Xenopus tropicalis: one gene and its partners. The protein of the gene in region 3 interacts with the protein of the main gene of each other region in a pairwise test. Links are inferred from orthologs where the notes say so. Each region holds a gene or a part of one and is shown on either strand. Other genes may lie near its edges. The genes, in order: aggf1, stac3 and mab21l3.

The links.
Region 1: the proteins of mab21l3 (region 3) and aggf1 interact in binary tests that used the Homo sapiens proteins (3 or more experiments, as listed by UniProt). The two-hybrid records come from large-scale screens. The link is inferred for Xenopus tropicalis from reciprocal best matches to the Homo sapiens genes MAB21L3 and AGGF1.
Region 2: the proteins of mab21l3 (region 3) and stac3 interact in binary tests that used the Homo sapiens proteins (3 or more experiments, as listed by UniProt). The two-hybrid records come from large-scale screens. The link is inferred for Xenopus tropicalis from reciprocal best matches to the Homo sapiens genes MAB21L3 and STAC3.

Annotation. Positions count from the first base shown.
Region 1 is NC_030677.2:185,018,477-185,025,513, forward strand, and holds part of aggf1 (angiogenic factor with G patch and FHA domains 1), read right to left. Parts: intron 6,126-7,037; coding exon 6,029-6,125; intron 4,666-6,028; coding exon 4,481-4,665; intron 4,263-4,480; coding exon 4,131-4,262; intron 4,031-4,130; coding exon 3,836-4,030; intron 2,489-3,835; coding exon of another isoform or gene 2,419-2,488; intron 467-2,418; coding exon 229-466; intron 1-228. UniProt on the Homo sapiens protein: Promotes angiogenesis and the proliferation of endothelial cells. Able to bind to endothelial cells and promote cell proliferation, suggesting that it may act in an autocrine fashion.
Region 2 is NC_030678.2:140,043,963-140,050,908, forward strand, and holds part of stac3 (SH3 and cysteine-rich domain-containing protein 3), read right to left. Parts: intron 5,971-6,946; coding exon 5,879-5,970; intron 4,344-5,878; coding exon 4,292-4,343; intron 1,649-4,291; coding exon 1,511-1,648; intron 226-1,510; coding exon 127-225; 3' UTR 1-126. UniProt on the Homo sapiens protein: Required for normal excitation-contraction coupling in skeletal muscle and for normal muscle contraction in response to membrane depolarization. Required for normal Ca(2+) release from the sarcplasmic reticulum, which ultimately leads to muscle contraction.
Region 3 is NC_030678.2:1,106,470-1,113,506, reverse strand, and holds part of mab21l3 (protein mab-21-like 3), read left to right. Parts: intron 1-1,941; coding exon 1,942-2,233; intron 2,234-2,329; coding exon 2,330-2,511; intron 2,512-3,944; coding exon 3,945-4,139; intron 4,140-6,419; coding exon 6,420-6,680; 3' UTR 6,681-7,037.

The DNA of each region.
Region 1 (7,037 bases), on a different chromosome or scaffold from region 3:
AACAACGGACATTGAAAATGGATTTAGGGGTAAATATAAAATACTTATTAAACCACAAAATAATATGAAAATAATTTCTAACAGACCGATTCATTATTTTATTATTATTTAAAGAAGTTCAATAAATATCTTAGAAATATAGTTACCAGCTGAATCCATTTTTCCAACCATGTTGCAAAGAATCATATTTCTGCCTGCAAATGCATACATTCAGCAAAATGAGGTCACCTTCAGGCTCTGAGGTGTGGGAAGTGACGCTTAGTCCACTTGACCTGTCATCATCACTGGAAGTCTTCTCATTGTCAGAGTCAGTGATTTCTCCCTCCTCTGGTTCACTCTCATCTGAGGATGAGCTCTCTCTTTCATAAGATTCTACTAAACTGCCCATCCTAGCTTTCTTTCTCTCAGCAGCCAATTCTTCCCTTTCAGGGGGGCTTACTGGCTCATGTTCCATTTTCTCTGTATCCTTAAAGAAAATGTGACAACACAGTAGCATCTTGAGAAATCAACTGATACTGCAAGAACTTTGAGGTTCCCCAGAACATGATTTAAAAAAAACATCATATGCAAGTGGAAACCAAGGGGGTTATATAGTAAAATGACATGCTTTGCCCTGCCAGTGGTTTTGCCTGGTCTAATTAAAAGTCTGACTGGCTGCCATAACATATGCCCCCATGTGCAATAAAAAGCACTAAGTTTACCCAGGTGCTGTAACCCATTGCAACTAATAAGATGTTTGCTTTTAAACAGGTGACCAGTAAATGGTACCTGTGATTGTTTGCTATGGGTTACAAACTTAGTGCCATTTATTACATAACTTCATTATGTTCATTCCATCTTTGGCATATATTGCCAAATCGGTCCTTTGACAGTTAGATTATTGCTATTTTTAAGAAACAAGAACAGCTGATCAGTGAAATTACTACAGAAATGCTGCCAAGTCATTGGTTGATGATCCTATAGATGGGAAAAAATGGATCATATATAACATTAATGGCATAGGTGGCCCAAACAATAAGAGGTGGTTTTACAATCAGTAACACATCCACGTTACTATATAAACCCTAAAATGGTTTTGCAGCTGCTGTTGAAGTCTCATGATGGATACATGTAGAAATATGCTAAGCAACAGAACAATACAGTAACGTAAACTATAGTAGAACACGACAAATATCAGGCGCCTGGCTGCTGTAGTTTTAGACTTTAGGAATATCTTATGAAGGTTCCTGTACAAACACCACTTCTCCATTTCTGAATACTGAGCATCTTTAGGGTCTATAATATCAAAATTTGGAGTCCAGGGAAGATCTGGTTTTAAGGTTACAAAAAGGGGTCAATTTTTATCAAGACTGAATTAAAACAAAGCCCAAAGACAAAAAACAAAGACAAAAATGATCCTTGGATCATTATGGAATGTTTGTTAAAAATAACCACAGAACAAACACTTTCCCCAAGAACTGCCATGCCAATATAAATAAAGGCCTGGATTACAAATGAATAACATACCCATTACTGAAAATATTTCTAGCACAAAAAAGAACAAAGACGTGCAACTTTGTGAGGAAACTTGAAGATGACACAACTTTATCATGCTTCTTTGTATCAGAGGTATTGCGTTGTACTGCCTGCAACTTAGAGCTGTCTAACATCCCCAACCAGTGGCTCATATGGAACATGCTCTCTACTCCTTTGATGTTGTACCCAGTGGCCTCAAATGAGGTGCTCCTGTTTAAATTCCTAGCACTGGGGGCAAATTATAGAGGCATAAAGACACAAGGACACCTCCAAACAGTGCTTCACCGCAGGCTGGCAGCCCACATGGCCATACCAAACAGCCAAGGAACATTTTTCATGCTTGTATAGCTCCCTAGAATATTTATCTTGAATTCGCCTTAATTCAATCAGATCCATAAAGCATACCAAAACACTAAAATTAGGCTGTACAGTACTTGTTCAAGCAGAGACCTGTCCAAAGTTCTCAATCCAAATATGTAACTGCACAGTTCAAATGCTATTTTGAGACAATTAGTATATGGAACAAGCATGATGGTTGCATAGTTACTTTTGCTGGAGACTTCCCATCTGTGGTAACAACTGATTAAATTTATAGTATTAGCGATTTAGCACCAAGGAACATGAAAAAGAAAAGTCAAGAAGAAGAAACATAATCTTACACAAGGTTTGTCTGCAAAGGTCATGCTAACAAAGGCATGAATAAGTAAAGCTCAAAGTAGCAGGTTAGTATAGGGGAGAAAAGCACAATGTAGAGCCTCACAATAAGCCCCATGGTACGTGCAATATTATCAGCTGGCTGCGTGGTAAAATGTACAGAGGTGCTAATCGGTAGTCTTGTGTTTACATCTGCCAAATTAATGAATGATGTTTCTAACTAAATTGGCACTTTCATCTCAACTCTACCTTTGTTATATGGTGTGTATCCCAAAGTGGAAATCTTCAAGCTAGCCATGGTGTCAGCCAAATTGTGTACCTAAAGACAAGATTATTAGTCAAGCTGGCGATGAAGAAAAATGAATGCACGAATGCAAGCACTAAAGTCCAAAACCTGTAGCTTGTTTAGCAAAAAAAGTAGATTAGACATCTAATGTTCTTCCACCTTTAGCAAATAGGAACACAATGTCCTTATACAGTTGGTTCCCTATTCCAGTTGTCTGGACACATTTACCGTGCAGTTTGCTCAACCAAGAAAAAAATGAACAAAAAGCTATTCAAGGGCATTGTGCCAGACGCAGTTTTCTGTTGCTGCACAACCTGCTCTTCATTTTAGTATATAAACCTGTTACTGACAAAACCCAAAATGCATGTACACGTTTAAAGGGAAATCTCAATTAATATATTAACTGCAAGATGCAGAAATCAGAAGACAGACCTATATAGCTAGACTAGTATACCCTAACAACCTTGATGAACTGACAAGAAAAAGCTAACTAACAAGTCCATTTTAAGCCGACCAATGTATCTAATAATAAAACAAAAAGCCGACTAACAAATTGATTAAAAAAAAAAAAACATAATGTGCGCTTGTCTCATTGTATTATTTTGGTGCTAATCTTATAGTTTTTCACATTCCAGTAGAGAGAGCAATGGTGGAAGAACTGCCTGGGGATGAAGCAATAAGGAGTCAAAACAGTGGCGTTTGTATACAAACCTTTATAAAATATTCTAAGTAAAAAAAAAGAACCAGAATTGGACAGCCAACTTGGGTTTTAAGGAGTGGGTCACTTACAGTTTTCGTTTTATGTCTGAGTAAGGTAAATTTATGCAAGCAAATTAAATTAAATTTTAAATAAAATGTTTTGATGCAAAGAGCAGAGTGTGCAGTATAGTTTATTCAACTAAGCTATAATTTGGCCACATTTTAGCCATAAAGATATTTTAATTTTCCTAAATGATGTTGATGTCTGTCAACATACAAGACCCAAATCTCTCTGACATATTGCCTTATAAAGCTCTGCTGAGAAGGGGAGATGTAGCTCCTTCCATTCAGCTGTGAGCTTGGTAGAGCAAGTTCCATTGGAGAAGCTGCTTATATACTAAATTTACCACCTAGGTCACAGAACCTGCCTAGGCAAAACCCCCAAATGTAATAAAATGTACTAAGTTTGCCCAGGATCTGCATCCAATAAAACCAATAAGATGACTGCTGCAGTTAATGCTTCCTGCTGATTGGTTGCTATAGGTTATTTATTATATAACACCCTAAAAGTGTCTTCAAGAGGAAGCCCATTATGAGGGCATTTCGTACTGCACTTTTTTTTTTTTTTAACTTGTTTGGAGGAGTTTTAACCCTCCAAAAGTATAAAGTTGTAATACAGACCTTCTCCTTCTCCTCCTCCTTTTCCATGCTGGCCGGATCTCGCCTCTTCTTCTTGCTCCTTTTATCTTTTGTTGGCTGAGGGTTTGTGTCAGTGAATGACTGAAGATCCACTCGGGAATGATATAGGTATCGGCCACTATCCACATCACAGTAATAATATATACCAGTGGTACCATCATAATATAGCTGGGACTCCTTGATATGATACACAATAACTCCAGTTACAAAATGTAAACAGCCTAAGCAAATTTTTTAAAAATAATAGGCATTTTATAGTTGCTCCAAATCAACGTACCGAATCATAATAAAATCCAGTACTGTGATCATAATACATCCCCGTGTTTTCATCATATACAAATCCAGTCTGCGTCACAGCAGCTTCTGCGGTCGCCCTCAGACTGTCAGCCAGTGAGCATCCCTGCTCTTCCTTATAGAAGAAATAGAACGAGTATTTAAATACAACAACAAACAGATCTGTTTTATTCACTCGGCTGTAAAGTCTTTTTAAGGCCCCCTCATTAACCATATTACACAAAAGAATATCTAGCTGATTAATGTATTACAACTGCTTAGTCAGTACCCCAACAAAGACCTCTATACTCTTCAGACTGCAGTAGTTCTATGTATCCCAACAGGCTGCATTACCTCAGCTTGCTGCGCGTATACAGTATCTTCTTGCACCTCTTCCACAAACTGACCGCTGCTTGCTCCTGCTTTATTCAGCACTGCTTCTGCTACAACTTGTGAAGAATTGCTGTCTTCTGTCACACTGACCTGTTCTGACATACCTGGTGCAAATCCACTGTAATCATTTCCACTGGAACAATAATCTAGAAAAAAATGTAATTAACATTTAAGATCTCTTTACAAAACATTAATTGCAGGCTAAATGTGGTTATCCAATTCGATCACTGCACTCAAAAACTATTGCTCAGTAAGGCTAGGGTTTTATTGTGATTGTTACTTATTACTTTTTCTGTATTGGTCCTCCCCTATTTATATACCAATCTCTAATTTAAACCACTACCTGGTTGTTAATTTGGACCATAGCCACCAGACAGCTTCTGAAAGCCCAAACTGGAGAACTGCTGAACAAAAACTGAAATAATTTAAAATCTACAAATAACAAAATGAAGACCAACTGCAAACTGTCTCAAAATAGTACTCTCTACATCATACTAAAAGTTAACTCTAAGGTGAACAACCCCTTTAAAAGTTCATTAGAATACAACAATTTGGCATATACAGGTATAGGACCCGTTATCCAAAATGCTCGGGACCAAGGGTATTCCGGATAAGGGGTCTTTCCGCAATTTGGATCTCCATAACTTAAGTCTACTAAAGAATTAATAAAACATTAATTAAACCAAATAGGATTGTTTTGCATCCAGTAAGGATTAATTATATCTTAGTTGGAATCAATTACAAGGTACTGTTTTATTACTACAGAGAATGAGGAAATCAGTTTTAAAATTCTGAATTATTTGAGTAAAATGGAGTCTATGGGAGACGGGCTTTCCGTAATTCAGAGATTTCTGGATAACAGGTTTCCAGATAAGAAATCCCATACCTGTACAGTAATTTGCAAAATTTTAAATGCAGACACACCCATGTATACAATACATACCACCAAGCAAAGCAGATATTTTTGGGCAAATGAAAATGACCCCAATGTTTTGGCACTGGCCTTAGTCAATGAGAATACCCCTTGACAAAGGCTTGTGTCGAAATGTAATTCTCATCTGCAAAAAATACCCACCTAACTGCAAAAACATACCACCTTTGTGTACTATTTAGATTATTATATAGATTATTTAGTTTGGCGTAATCTTTAAAACTGATGCAGACTGAATTCTATGTGTAAGTGACCACCCCTCATTGTATTTATTCCAATTATAATCTAGACCTAAGCCCTAATACTAATTTTAAAAAAAAAAAGTGAAAGCTTACTTTTAAATTTCTATTTTAAAATGATATATAGCAAATAACCACTCTTTTGCAAGTCTTGGCAGTTGGATGCTTAATTTCAATGTGCATATTTGCTAAATTTTATATACTCTTGCTAAATAAGGGGAGCTGTCTCTGTTGGGACATTTTCCCCACAATATATGCATATCAAAATAGCATATTTTGCTTTTAAATGTGCACAAGTTCCTTGTTAAAAAAAAAACAAAAAAAAAAACTGATACTGACCAGATTGTGCCCAACCATAATAGCCATCTGTCTGTACTTCCTGGGCTGTCTGTTCTGCTCTCTTTCTTTCATGAAGTTCTCTACTTAGTTGCTCTACCTGCAAGAACCAAGAAAAATCATTATGGTGACATATGGTAAAACGAAACCCTTATTCTTATAGAACCAACTACATGCAAAGCTATACAAAGTATTTTTTCAAAGAATATTAACCACTTAACCATAAGAGCTTACATGTGTAGGTACAGAGTACATGTGTCTTTGACAAAGTCCCTGGACAGTAGTACAAGAGTGCACCCCTTAGTGCGTATGCAGAAAAAAACTTCTGTCTGGGGTTAAGCTGCACTGTGCCCCTCACACTGGATACAATATTTGGGGGAGCATATGTGCCTTTCCCTGCCCACCCCCTCCCCCTTGGTAAATCTGGATGTATGCAGAACTTTATTCATACAGTGCTACTAAAATATGCAGCTGTGTATTTTATTAGAAGAGCGGCTGATCCCTATGTTCACCCTCATTCGGATCCATCTGTCGGTGAATGGTAGGGGTGTCTGTCGGTGAATCGGTCGGGGTAGGGGTATCTGTCGGGGTACGGTAGGGGTACCTGTCGGGGTACGGTAGGGGTATCTGTCGGGGTACGGTAGGGGTACCTGTCGGGGTACGGTAGGGGTACCTGTCGGGGTACGGTAGGGGTATCTGTCGGGGTACGGTAGGGGTATCTGTCGGGGTACGGTAGGGGTATCTGTCGGGGTACGGTAGGGGTATATGTCGGGGTATATGGTAGGGGTATATGTCGGGGTATATGGTAGGGGTATATGTCGGGGTACGGTAGGGGTATATGTCGGGGTACGGTAGGGGTATATGTCGGGGTACCGTAGGGGTATATGTCGGGGTACCATAGGGGTATCTGTCGGGGTATATGTCGGGGTATGGTAGGGGTATATGTCGGGTATATGGTAGGGGTATATGTCGGGGTATATGGTAGGGGTATATGGTAGGGGTATATGGTAGG
Region 2 (6,946 bases), about 140 Mb from region 3:
TATCCACAGTGGTGTGAATGAAGGATCATACTGATGATAGTCCTTTAGTCAGGAGCATTGGGAAGGTTCTTCCTGTGTGGGCTGTTCCGGGGTTCCCAGGCAGATACTCTTAATCTTGTTCCTTCTTCAGATTTCTTGCAGAAAGTCTAGGGGAAATAGCCCTACCTTCCTCCCTGTGGACACTTTGATGTATCCATTGACTTCATCTCCTTTCTGCACCACAATCTGTTATTGAGATAATATATAGTGAATTATAATTACCAGTCTTTTTTTAATAACTAGAGAGGCAAATTACTTTGATATTGAGGAAATAAAACAAACAAAAACAGGTTTTTAATAAAAACCAAAAAGCCATTTTTGCCATTATATAGCACTAAAGGGAAATAGTTGTGTTCCCCCCAACTCCTCCCCTGTAAAGAGGGTAATTTATTTAAAGGTAGATAATAACCTCTGTTTAAACAAACATCAAACTGCAACCTTTGTTTTGCTCTGAGATAGGGCACAGCTCATTATAAAAAGGGCTTATCTGTGTATTATTCATTTTGTTTACGACTACCAAGAAGAAATAAAGTGAGATTTAGCAGCCGCCATGTTGCTGTGTCTCTTAGGGCTCTGACACACGGGGAGATTAGTCCCCTGGGAACCACGCCGCCGCGTGTGCCATCCCACTGGCGACTTACATTGTCGCCGGTGGGATGGCAGGGGGAAGGCAACTCTGGGAGATTAGTCGCCCGCGAACAGGGAGTTTTGTCGCGGGTGACTAATCTCCCCGTGTGTCAGAGCCCTTAACGTGGTGAATATCCGCAACTAGCCTTTAGGGCTGAAACAGGCAGATAAGGAGGTAGAAACAATAGGATTTCTACCTCCTTCTGCCGATTCAGCGCTGAAGGCAGATTTTGGTCAGGCGCCTTCTATGGCGCCTGATCAAAATCTTTTAACCGGTCCGACCAGCGAGTCGACCGATATCAGCAGCTTCCTGCGATATCGGTCGACTCGCCGACTTGCCATACACGCACCGAATATCGTACAAAACGGGGTTTCATACAATATTATCGGTGCATGTATGGCCAGCTTTACAGTCCCATAATTCATGAACAGGAGCATGCACACTGGAAGCCAACCTGGTCCTGGTTTCAGATTACATGCTCCTTGTGGGTAATTGTGATCAGGGAGACAGGAACCAAAAGTTACACAGCCAAACATGGCTGCCACTGCTTCTACATTTGGCCAATAGGTACAAGGGAACAGGTAATTTTTTGGGAGCTGGGTTGATATAGTTTGTTCCCTGAACATCTTCCCTTCCAAACTACAGTATATCTGGTGGTTAAAAAACCTAAACTTTTTAACTAAATGAATAACTTTCGTGTTGAACTATATTAGTCATTAATGCTCATTTGTTGACTTTCATCACTGGATTTAGACAGCATTATTGACTTTTACAGTAAGTTTAATAGATATGCTTTACTTGTATCTTTAATGCCTGGCTCACAGCATATTAATAGGCACCTACCTGGTCTTTCTTCAGAGTGATTTGTCCAATTTCTCTATTTCCTACAAAAGATCGGGTCACCTTATACACTCTTTCTGCAGCTCGGACCCGGATAATAAAGTTAGCTGGGAAGTAGCCTGCCTTCTCACCAACTTTACCCTAAAACAAAGAGAGGCCAAACACGAAGGCAAATAAATAAAACACAATCAATTTTCCTTAATTTATTTATAGATCGTTGTACCAAGATCATTAGAGATCAGTGCTTTTGATTTTCTTGCTTCTCCTAAATGGAAATTGCTCTATGGGCCAGTAAACTTACATCTCACTATTTTCTGTTTAGATGGTCTTGTGTTCATGAATTAACAATTTGTTCTTCTACGGTTGTGTTTTCAATAGATATGCCTACTATACAAGGCCTTGGTAAGGGATGCGTGAACTTTTTGCCCCATAAAAATTTGTGACAAAATTTGTGGTTTTGCAACAATTTTTGGGAATCCACACTAGAATTTGCCATGCATTCTGTTGTGCTGGGAAAAAACACAGCCTAGTGCACCATTAAAAAACCACAGGCATCAGTATTGTCTACTCCTTGCCTTCCACACCATTTTTATAGGTGTCCAGGCACCATCTTTGGAACAAATGGCAACATTGGGCCTTCTATGAAGAATAGTTGTAGAATAGTGAAAATGAGCTTTTCTAACAAGGTAATTTCAGCTTCCCATCGACTCCATTGCATTTTGGGGAAATTTCTCATTTTGCCAATTCGATGGCAAAGCAAAATGCACCCGTTTTGCCCATCAGTAGCCTTGGTATCTCTCTACAAATAATTCTAAAAAAAATATTTCTGTGAACAGGAGAATGCACACCATATTCTGATGTTCTCAGTCAAATTTAATTTTGTAAAAAGGAAAGTTCTGAAATGTGCTCCTGAAATAAATCATTAATATTGTTCCCAGTTTTCAAAACGAGTACAGACTTCATTTAAATCAAGTAGTTTGAATGATGACTGCATATATATTGGTGGCAAAACAATCCTACTTTATTTAAATGATTTTTTTAGTAGACTTGTGGTATGGAGATCCAAATTACAGAAAGACCCCTTATCTGTAAAACCCCAGGTCCCAAGCATTCTGCATAACAAGTCCCATACCTGTAATTCTCTTTATGGATTATTCATTATTTACTCTTTGCTGCTAATTATGAATTTCTTATTTTCTTACACATCCATGCTAGTTTTCCAGTTCCTTTGTTAGTGCTGAAGTAGAGATCATTGGATACTCCTTTTGTTGCCGGAAATTCTGATTTCTACAATTCCGTGAGTATAAATATAGAGTTGCATGAAAGGGTCACACGTCTGATTTTCACTTAATAACCAGCACATGTTTCTATCAATTCCACATTAAGGATTTCTAGCCTCATGACCTCTTTATACTTATAGACCAATAACAGCCTATCTCTGTACTTCAGTTCCACTGTTCAGTGGCTTTATAACATTTGGAATTTGTTCTGCAACTTCCTAATGCAGCTTCTGCTGCCACAACTTTGAAGCCAACTAGAGCACGGCATAACAGGGTCTTTAACGTGTGGCTCTCAGGCTGCTTCTGAATTATAACTTGCAGCAGTAAGAAAGTTAAAATAAGGTGTATAAAAAACAATAGTAATGTTGAAATAAGTTGATAGAGGAAAGGCAACGTAGGCAATCTGTAACAGCTGTGTTCTTTGCTCTTTTTCCCAATATAAGTGCATGTAATCCTGACTGTACTAGTTTGAATGATATTAAAGAAACAGTAACACAAAAAATGAAGAAATGAAAATGGTTTTAAGTAATTAAAATACTCACAAATAAAATACAGTTGCTGTGCACTGGTTTGCTTCAGGGAAACTACTATGGTTTGTATAAATAAGCTGCTGTGTGGGGGCAGCCATTCAAAGGAGAAAAGGCTCAGGTTATGTAGCAGATAACAGATAAGCTCTATAGAATATAATGGTGTTCTACAGAGCCTCTGTTATCCCCTATTTAACCTGTGCCATTTAGTCCTATTGCAATTGCCTCCATTACTACACAGTAGCTTTATTTATATAAGCCAGTGATCCCCACCCAGTGGCTCAGGGGCAACATGTTGCTCACCAACCCCCTTGGATGTTGCTCTCAGTGGCCTCAAAGTAGGTAGCTTTGGTTGCATAAAAACCCGGCATAATGCCAAACAGTCTTCTATAGGCTGCCAGTTCACATAGAGATTACCAAATAGCCAAACATAGCTCTTATTTGGCACCCTAGGAATCCTACTTTTTTATTTGAATTTTCCTCATGCATATAAAAGGTTGGGGAGCCCTGATACAAACTATTACATTGTTTCTGAAGCAAACCCACCAGTTTTACCAGTGCAGGGCCACAGTACATTATATTTGAATTACTTTAAAACACATTCATTTTTTGGCGTTACTGTTCCTTTAAGATGGGATTGTTGGTGATATGCTAATACAGGGGTTATTGCTACACTGTTGGGCATCCTAGGGAAACAAAGAGTACTCTCGTGCAATGCAAAAGCAGACCAGGCTCACTGTGGCTTTAAGTGATGAATCGGTTTTGCTTTGCTGAAAAATTAGCAAAACTGTTTTGATGTGACCGTAACTTTTTCCTTACTCTGTGAATTTTTGCGGCTGTTTCACAAAAAAAATTCACTCATCACTATTTATATTTAAGGCAGAATTGGCCTGGGCTGGAAGTATTTCTATGTGTCACAATGTTTACTTTGCTGAATTTGCCGTTTGTACAAGGACAACTGTATTTTTATTACTTACCCTCCACCATTCTTCATTGGAGTCATCTATTACGGTGATTCTTTCCCCAGCTCTGTGAAAACAATAATGTGCAAGGAAATTCAGGGACAAGACATGGGCTATTCCTTCCTAGGGGATATTATCATGGGATATTCCTTTCTAGGGGATATTATCATGGGATATTCCTTTCTAGGGGATATTATCATGGGATATTCCTTTCTAGGGGATATTATCATGGGATATTCCTTTCTAGGGGATATTATCATGGGATATTCCTTTCTAGGGGATATTATCATGGGCTATTCCTTCCTAGGGGATATTATCATGGGATATTCCTTTCTAGGGGATATTATTATGGGATATTCCTTTCTAGGGGATATTATCATGGGATATTCCTTTCTAGGGGATATTATCATGGGATATTCCTTTCTAGGGGATATTATTATGGGATATTCCTTTCTAGGGGATATTATCATGGGATATTCCTTTCTAGGGGATATTATTATGGGATATTCCTTTCTAGGGGATATTATCATGGGATATTCCTTCCTAGGGGATATTATCATGGGCTATTCATTTCTAGGGGATATTATCATGGCATATTCCTTCCTAGGGGATATTATCATGGGATATTCCTTTCTAGGGGATATTATTATGGGATATTCCTTTCTAGGGGATATTATTATGGGATATTCCTTCCTAGGGGATATTATCATGGGATATTCCTTTCTAGGGGATATTATCATGGGATATTCCTTTCTAGGGGATATTATTATGGGATATTCCTTCCTAGGGGATATTATTATGGGATATTACTTTCACAATCCAAAAACAGAGCATGAAACCTTTACTAAATAGAATGTACACATATTAAATTAGTAATAAACATTTATCAAATTGCCCTTACATCTTGAATTATGAGAGTAAGTATGAGATTTATTATTCAGAATGCTTGGGACCTGCGGTTTAATGGATAAGGGATCTTTCCATAATTTGGACCTCCAAACATTAATTAAACCCATTAGGATTATTTTGCTTCCAATAAGGATTAATTATATTTTAGTTGGGATTAGGTTATAATTTAGGATTATAAGAAAAAGGATTTTATTTTTAAATATGAATTATTTGCTTAAAATGGAGTCTATGGGAGATGGCTAACCAATAATTTGGAACTTTCTAGATAACAGGTTTCTGAATAATGGATCCCATACCTATAGAAGCCTATACTCCCTCCAAACACTTGGGCTAATTTGCTGAAACTGGGTCAATCTGCAAAGTTATCTGAGGTTTGTGCTTCTTTCCTACACAAAGCAACATTAGAACAGTTTTCTGTTTTCCTTCTGAACATATATCTTTACCACCATACAGTCAGAGCAACTGACCAGCAGGTAGCACATTATATTACCAATAAATAGCTTAACAGCTCTAAAACTTAAAAAAAATGATCAAGGTCAATTGGAAAAGTGCTTACAAAGTTCCCTGAGCATCATTTTTACCCTTTGAGGAACTACATAAATAGCAAGGCACTTTCTGTTTATGACTCTCACATGGGGCACAAATTAGAGAATAGCTGTATGAGACTATACTAGCCAGCAAGGCTATACTCACTGAAAATCTAGATCATCCTTCTCCAGGGCTTTGAAGCGATACAAAGCGACAAAATAATGGGACTGCATGAACCCAGGCTGCGCCTTCTTATTCTATAACCACAAATGGAAAGAAGCAGAAAGGTAAAGCTGCGCAAAAAATGAATTCATTTCTGAAAAAGTGTAGGCACAGGGAAAGGCTGAGGCAAGTGTAGGGGTTGCTTCCTTGCCTTCATTTATCTGCAGACCAAGAATCAGTGTGTCAGTAGTTGACGTGGTGCACATTTGCACCCCTTAGTGCTCTAGGCCTTGTGTCCAGGGTCGGAGTAAATGACCCTTAGAATAGTTTATCTTCCACATGTAAAGCACAGTAAAAATGATGTGTTTGTAAGATTTATCAGTCCACATAAATAAATACCATCAATATCTGGATATACCAATAGATAATAACAATGGCGACAGCGTTTATGTTTTTGTTTGTTTTTCATGTTTAGCAAACTAAGGGAACCATTTCTGCCTGCAAGAATTTTACAATATTTTGGTTTTAAAGGAACATGAACTAAAGAGGGAACCTGCTGTCTAAAAAACGTAAATCTTAAATTTTTTCGCAGAGTTATCAGCCACACAATGAAACATTCTCTGATGCTGAGAACAAAATCCAGCAGCTCAAGAAGAAAACAAATCAGCTAAATATTCCTGGCACTATCCGACAGGCAACAGAATAGGATATCTATACACAATGCAATATTTACTGCGTTCTGCACTCCAAGCACTTGGACAATTACAATTAAAATGTACAATACACTTTGAAAAGGTAAGATGGATTAGATGGTTTAGTCCATGTGCGCAAAGTTATATATCTTCTCCTTGTTACTAAATGGCATAAAAATGAATGGGACCACTACTAAGTTATACTTTATACTGCTGTGTGCCAAAGGATGCTCAGATTTACAGGGGAGTACAATTTTGGGGGTTGTCTAGGATCACAGCCACTATATATACTATATGTATGTGACAAAGCAGTTGTTATAAGGGGCTGTCTGTGTGCCTGTCCCACTGACGTAATGACCGAAGATACACTGAATCTAGG
Region 3 (7,037 bases):
GATTCACTTACCCAGGGGAGGGGGTTCCTGTCTGACCATGGGAAAGAGAGCAGCCCAGGAGCAGGAAGTACAGAGAATCAGAGCTCTGTACCTGGGTAAGTACTGGGGGGTGATTGGATTCACTTACCCGGGGGGGGGGGGTTCCTTCCTGACCATAGGAAAGAGAGCAGCCCAGGAGCAGGAAATACAGAGAATCAGAGCTCTGTACCTGGGTAAGTACTGGGGGGAGATTGGATTCACTTACCCAGGGGGAGGTTCCTGTCTGACCATGGGAAAGAGAGCAGCCCAGGAGCAGGAAATACAGAGAATCAGAGCTCTGTACCTGGGTAAGTACTGGGGGGAGATTGGATTCACTTACCCGGGGGGGGGTCCTGTCTTACCATGGGAAAGAGAGCAGCCCAGGAGCAGGAAGTACAGAGAATCAGAGCTCTGTACCTGGGTAAGTACTGGGGGGAGATTGGATTCACTTACCCAGGGGGGGGTTCCTGCCTGACCATGGGAAAGAGAGCAGCCCAGGAGCAGGAAGTACAGAGAATCAGAGCTCTGTACCTGGGTAAGTACTGGGGGGAGATTGGATTCACTTACCCAGGGGGGGGTTCCTGCCTGACCATGGGAAAGAGAGCAGCCCAGGAGCAGGAAGTACAGAGAATCAGAGCTCTGTACCTGGGTAAGTACTGGGGGGAGATTGGATTCACTTACCCGGGGGGTTCCTGTCTTACCATGGGAAAGAGAGCAGCCCAGGAGCAGGAAGTACAGAGAATCAGAGCTCTGTATCTGGGTAAGTACTGGGGGGAGATTGGATTCACTTACCCAGGGAGGGGTTCCTGCCTGACCATGGGAAAGAGAGCAGCCCAGGAGCAGGAAGTACAGAGAATCAGAGCTCTGTACCTGGGTAAGTACTGGGGGGAGATTGGATTCACTTACCCAGGGGGAGGTTCCTGCCTGACCATGGGAAAGAGAGCAGCCCAGGAGCAGGAAGTACAGAGAATCAGAGCTCTGTACCTGGGTAAGTACTGGGGGGAGATTGGATTCACTTACCCAGGGGGAGGTTCCTGCCTGACCATGGGAAAGAGAGCAGCCCAGGAGCAGGAAGTACAGAGAATCAGAGCTCTGTACCTGGGTAAGTACTGGGGGGAGATTGGATTCACTTACCCGGGGGGGGGGGGGGTTCCTGCCTGACCATGGGAAAGAGAGTAGCCCAGGAGCAGGAATTACAGAGAATCAGAGCTCTGTACCTGGGTAAGTACTGGGGGGAGATTGGATTCACTTACCCAGGGGGGGGTTCCTGCCTGACCATGGGAAAGAGAGCAGCCCAGGAGCAGGAAGTACAGAGAATCAGAGCTCTGTACCTGGGTAAGTACTGGGGGGAGATTGGATTCACTTACCCAGGGGGGTTCCTGCCTGACCATGGGAAAGAGAGCAGCCCAGGAGCAGGAAATACAGAGAATCAGAGCTCTGTACCTGGGTAAGTACTGGGGGGAGATTGGATTCACTTACCCAGGGGGAGGTTCCTGCCTGACCATGGGAAAGAGAGCAGCCCAGGAGCAGGAAGTACAGAGAATCAGAGCTCTGTACCTGGGTAAGTACTGGGGGGAGATTGGATTCACTTACCCAGGGGGAGGTTCCTGCCTGACCATGGGAAAGAGAGCAGCCCAGGAGCAGGAAGTACAGAGAATCAGAGCTCTGTACCTGGGTAAGTACTGGGGGGAGATTGGATTCACTTACCCGGGGGGGGGGGTTCCTGCCTGACCATGGGAAAGAGAGCAGCCCAGGAGCAGGAAGTACAGAGAATCAGAGCTCTGTACCTGGGTAAGTACTGGGGGGAGATTGGATCACTTACCCGGGGGGCAATCCCATTATAAATGTAGGTGGGACTAGGGGATACTTACTCTGTTCCCAGTACCATTCTGGGTCTGATCTTGCCCCGACTCCATATTACAGGTTCTGAGCCCCTCCCAGTTCTTGGTGACTGTTCCCCTTCGGGGTCTCAGTGGCTTCGGGCAGAAGAGGAGCCGGCGGTGGCGTTACTACTCCCCAAGTGGGACCCAACTCGTGGCACCGGCGATGGAACCCGAGAAGCTGCACCAGTGGCTGGAGATAGAGCAGTTCCAGAAGAGCGCCCCCCATTGGCACGACAACGACGTCAACATCAAGGGGGACCTCGTCCCCGCCCGGGTCATACATGTCCTCTTGGAACACCTCTATAGGGCCATCACCTTCTGCAGCCTGACTGGTAAGGGTTAAAGTCCTACCTGCCACATTGCCCACATGTAGGTGAGTGTGAGTGTGAGTGTGAGTCACTCAGGGTTGGACCTCTCTCTGCCCCCAGACAAGGTGAATGTACTGGAGTCCTTTGGGCCCTCCATCAGGCTGAACGTGGAGACCTCCGAGCAGATGGTGGAGGTGGAGCTGGTTCCTGTGCTTGAGGTTCCGGGGTTCTGGCCCAGAAAAGCCCAGTGGCCCCGGTTCTTTAAACGTTGGCCCCCAAGGGAGAGAATACAGTGTGTCAAGGTACCAACAAACCAAAATGTGGGGGTCGGGACTATAAATACCCTCTGGCTGGGGTGGTGGGGGCCTAACATTGGGGGGTTCCCCTATGGGGGGAGATAGAATGGGAACAAGTTTGTGGCTCGGAGAAGATAAGTCACCCCCAAACCATGGACTGCAGCATTTAGGGTATTGAGCAACTGGGGTGTATGGCTCATGTTGGGGTGCAATTAGACCCCTGTAGGTCAGACAGTTGGGGTGTATGGCTAATGTTTGGGGTGCAATTAGACCCTTGTAGGTCAGACAGTTGGGGTGTATGGCCACTGGTACAGTTTGGGGTGCAATTAGACCCTTGTAGGTCAGACAGTTGGGGTGTATAGCTACTGGTACAGTTTGGGGTACAATTAGACCCCTGTAGGTCAGACAGTTGGGGTGTATGGCTACTGGTACAGTTTGGGGTGCAATTAGACCCTTGTAGGTCAGACAGTTGGGGTGTATGGCTACTGTTACAGTTTGGGGTGCAGTTAGACCCTTGTAGGCCAGACAGTTGGGGTGTATGGCTACTGGTACAGTTTGGGGTGCAGTTAGACCCTTGTAGGTCAGACAGTTGGGGTGTATGGCTACTGGTACAGTTTGGGGTGCAGTTAGACCCTTGTAGGTCAGACAGTTGGGGTGTATGGCTACTGGTACAGTTTGGGGTGCAATTAGACCCTTGTAGGTCAGACAGTTGGGGTGTATGGCTACTGGTACAGTTTGGGGTGCAGTTAGACCCTTGTAGGTCAGACAGTTGGGGTGTATGGCTACTGGTACAGTTTGGGGTGCAATTAGACCCTTGTAGGCCAGACAGTTGGGGTGTATGGCTACTGTTACAGTTTGGGGTGCAATTAGACCCTTGTAGGTCAGACAGTTGGGGTGTATGGCTACTGTTACAGTTTGGGGTGCAGTTAGACCCTTGTAGGCCAGACAGTTGGGGTGTATGGCTACTGGTACAGTTTGGGGTGCAGTTAGACCCTTGTAGGCCAGACAGTTGGGGTGTATGGCTACTGGTACAGTTTGGGGTGCAGTTAGACCCCTGTAGGTCAGACAGTTGGGGTGTATGGCTACTGGTACAGTTTGGGGTGCAGTTAGACCCTTATAGGCCAGACAGTTGGGGTGTATGGCTACTGGTACAGTTTGGGGTGCAGTTAGACCCTTATAGGCCAGACAGTTGGGGTGTATGGCTACTGTTACAGTTTGGGGTGCAGTTAGACCCTTGTAGGCCAGATAGTTGGGGTGTATGGCTACTGGTACAGTTTGGGGTGCAGTTAGACCCCTGTAGGTCAGACAGTTGGCTGCTGTTTGGGGGTGCACCTTGGACCTGTGTATGTGGAACAGGGGTCAGGATGGCCGGGTACTTGGGTAATTGTTACATCTGTGCATTTTCCCCCATTTCCCCAATTCTCTCTGCCCCCCAATAGTCATTTGGCTTTGACCTCCTGGCCCGGTCGAATTACCACTGGCAGCTGTCTTTCCTGAGAGGAGAGCGCCTCCTGCTGGAGACAATGGATGAGGACGGGGGGTGTCGCATGAAGTGCTATCGGGCCGTTCGGCAGATGAAGGAGGATGTTTGGTGCCCGGGGAGTCACCCCGTTATCAGCTCCCACCACCTACAGGTCTGTACCCCGAGTACCGAGCCTGTGGCACCTTACAGCCCCCCTGGCATTCCCAGTACCCAGAGACACAAACAGCCCCCCCAGCCCAATAAATAGTGACTGTCTGTGGCACCTTACAGCCCCCCTGGCATTCCCAGTACCCAGAGGCACAAACAGCCCCCCCAGCCCAATAAATAGTGACTGTCTGTGGCACCTTACAGCCCCCCTGGCATTCCCAGTACCCAGAGGCACAAACAGCCCCCCCCCCCCAGCCCAATAAATAGTGACTGTCTGTGGCACCTTACAGCCCCCCTGGCATTCCCAGTACCCAGAGGCACAAACAGCCCCCCCAGCCCAATAAATAGTGACTGTCTGTGGCACCTTACAGCCCCCCTGGCATTCCCAGTACCCAGAGGCACAAACAGCCCCCCCCCAGCCCAATAAATAGTGACTGTCTGTGTCACCTTACAGCACCCCTGGCATTCCCAGTACCCAGAGGCACAAACAGCCCCCCCCCCAGCCCAATAAATAGTGACTGTCTGTGGCACCTTACAGCCCCCCTGGCATTCCCAGTACCCAGAGGCACAAACAGCCCCCCCCCCCAGCCCAATAAATAGTGACTGTCTGTGGCACCTTACAGCCCCCCTGGCATTCCCAGTACCCAGAGGCACAAACAGCCCCCCCAGCCCAATAAATAGTGACTGTCTGTGGCACCTTACAGCCCCCCCGGCATTCCCAGTACCCAGAGGCACAAACAGCCCCCCCCAGCCCAATAAATAGTGACTGTCTGTGGCACCTTACAGCCCCCCCGGCATTCCCAGTACCCAGAGGCACAAACAGCCCCCCCCCAGCCCAATAAATAGTGACTGTCTGTGGCACCTTACAGCCCCCCTGGCATTCCCAGTACCCAGAGGCACAAACAGCCCCCCCAGCCCAATAAATAGTGACTGTCTGTGGCACCTTACAGCCCCCCTGGCATTCCCAGTACCCAGAGGCACAAACAGCCCCCCCAGCCCAATAAATAGTGACTGTCTGTGGCACCTTACAGCCCCCCTGGCATTCCCAGTACCCAGAGGCACAAACAGCCCCCCACCAGCCTAATAAATAGTGACTGTCTGTGGCACCTTACAGCCCCCCTGGCATTCCCAGTACCCAGAGGCACAAACAGCCCCCCCAGCCCAATAAATAGTGACTGTCTGTGGCACCTTACAGCCCCCCCTGGCATTCCCAGTACCCAGAGGCACAAACAGCCCCCCCAGCCCAATAAATAGTGACTGTCTGTGGCACCTTACAGCCCCCCTGGCATTCCCAGTACCCAGAGACACAAACAGCCCCCCCCCCCCAGCCCAATAAATAGTGACTGTCTGTGGCACCTTACAGCCCCCCTGGCATTCCCAGTACCCAGAGGCACAAACAGCCCCCCCCCCAGCCCAATAAATAGTGACTGTCTGTGGCACCTTACAGCCCCCCCGGCATTCCCAGTACCCAGAGGCACAAACAGCCCCCCCCAGCCCAATAAATAGTGACTGTCTGTGGCACCTTACAGCCCCCCTGGCATTCCCAGTACCCAGAGGCACAAACAGCCCCCCCAGCCCAATAAATAGTGACTGTCTGTGGCACCTTACAGCCCCCTGGCATTCCCAGTACCCAGAGGCACAAACAGCCCCCCCCCCCAGCCTAATAAATAGTGACTGTCTGTGGCACCTTACAGCCCCCCTGGCATTCCCAGTACCCAGAGGCACAAACAGCCCCCCCCCAGCCCAATAAATAGTGACTGTCTGTGGCACCTTACAGCCCCCCTGGCATTCCCAGTACCCAGAGGCACAAACAGCCCCCCCAGCCCAATAAATAGTGACTGTCTGTGGCACCTTACAGCCCCCCTGACATTCCCAGTACCCAGAGGCACAAACAGCCCCCCCCCAGCCCAATAAATAGTGACTGTCTGTGGCACCTTACAGCCCCCCCGGCATTCCCAGTACCCAGAGGCACAAACAGCCCCCCCCCAGCCCAATAAATAGTGACTGTCTGTGGCACCTTACAGCCCCCCCTGGCATTCCCAGTACCCAGAGGCACAAACAGCCCCCCCCAGCCCAATAAATAGTGACTGTCTGTGGCACCTTACAGCCCCCCCCCCTGGCATTCCCAGTACCCAGAGGCGCAAACAGCCCCCCCAGCCCAATAAATAGTGACTGTCTGTGGCACCTTACAGCCCCCCTGGCATTTGCTAGATCCCACAGATTGCCAGCCTGGGCCTGGTACAAGCCCCCGATAATCAGTCTCCCAATGATCCTTCTCTTGCAGATGATAGTGCTGTGGGCCAGTGAGCGGAACCCTTCCCCTAAAGCCTGGAAGGACCTGGGTCGCTGTTTCCTGCGAGTGGTTAAAAGGCTACAGAAATGCGCCAGGCAGCGGTTCCTGCGCCATTACTTTGTGCGACGGGCAAACCTGCTGAAATACGCCGACACTGCCCAGCTGGATGCCCTGGCCGACAAGCTGAGCCAATTCCTGCGGGGCCCCTCTCTGAGCAGCTCATTGTACCAAGGTGCCTCCTCCGCCTGCTGATTCTGCCCCAGAGCCCCGCCCTCTGTTGACAAATGGGTGTGGGTAATGCACAACCCTGTTGCTATGGAAGCAGCGGCCCACCTACAGTTCTAGGGGCCCCGAGCTCAGGCAGTGGGAAAGCCTTGAATAATGACTGCTCCTCTGCCCATTCCTGCACCCCCCAAGAACAAGAATCTATTATAGACCTGCGCTACGATGCCCAGATACCTCCTACGTGAATATAGGCCACTCCTACTAGATCTGCCCCTGAGGAACAACAATCTGCCCCACACTTAGAAGAGACCACTTCTCCAACTACCGACTGCTCCAAAGGAACAGAAATAGCACCTACAGTAATTCCGGCTCCTCCGCCCCCCG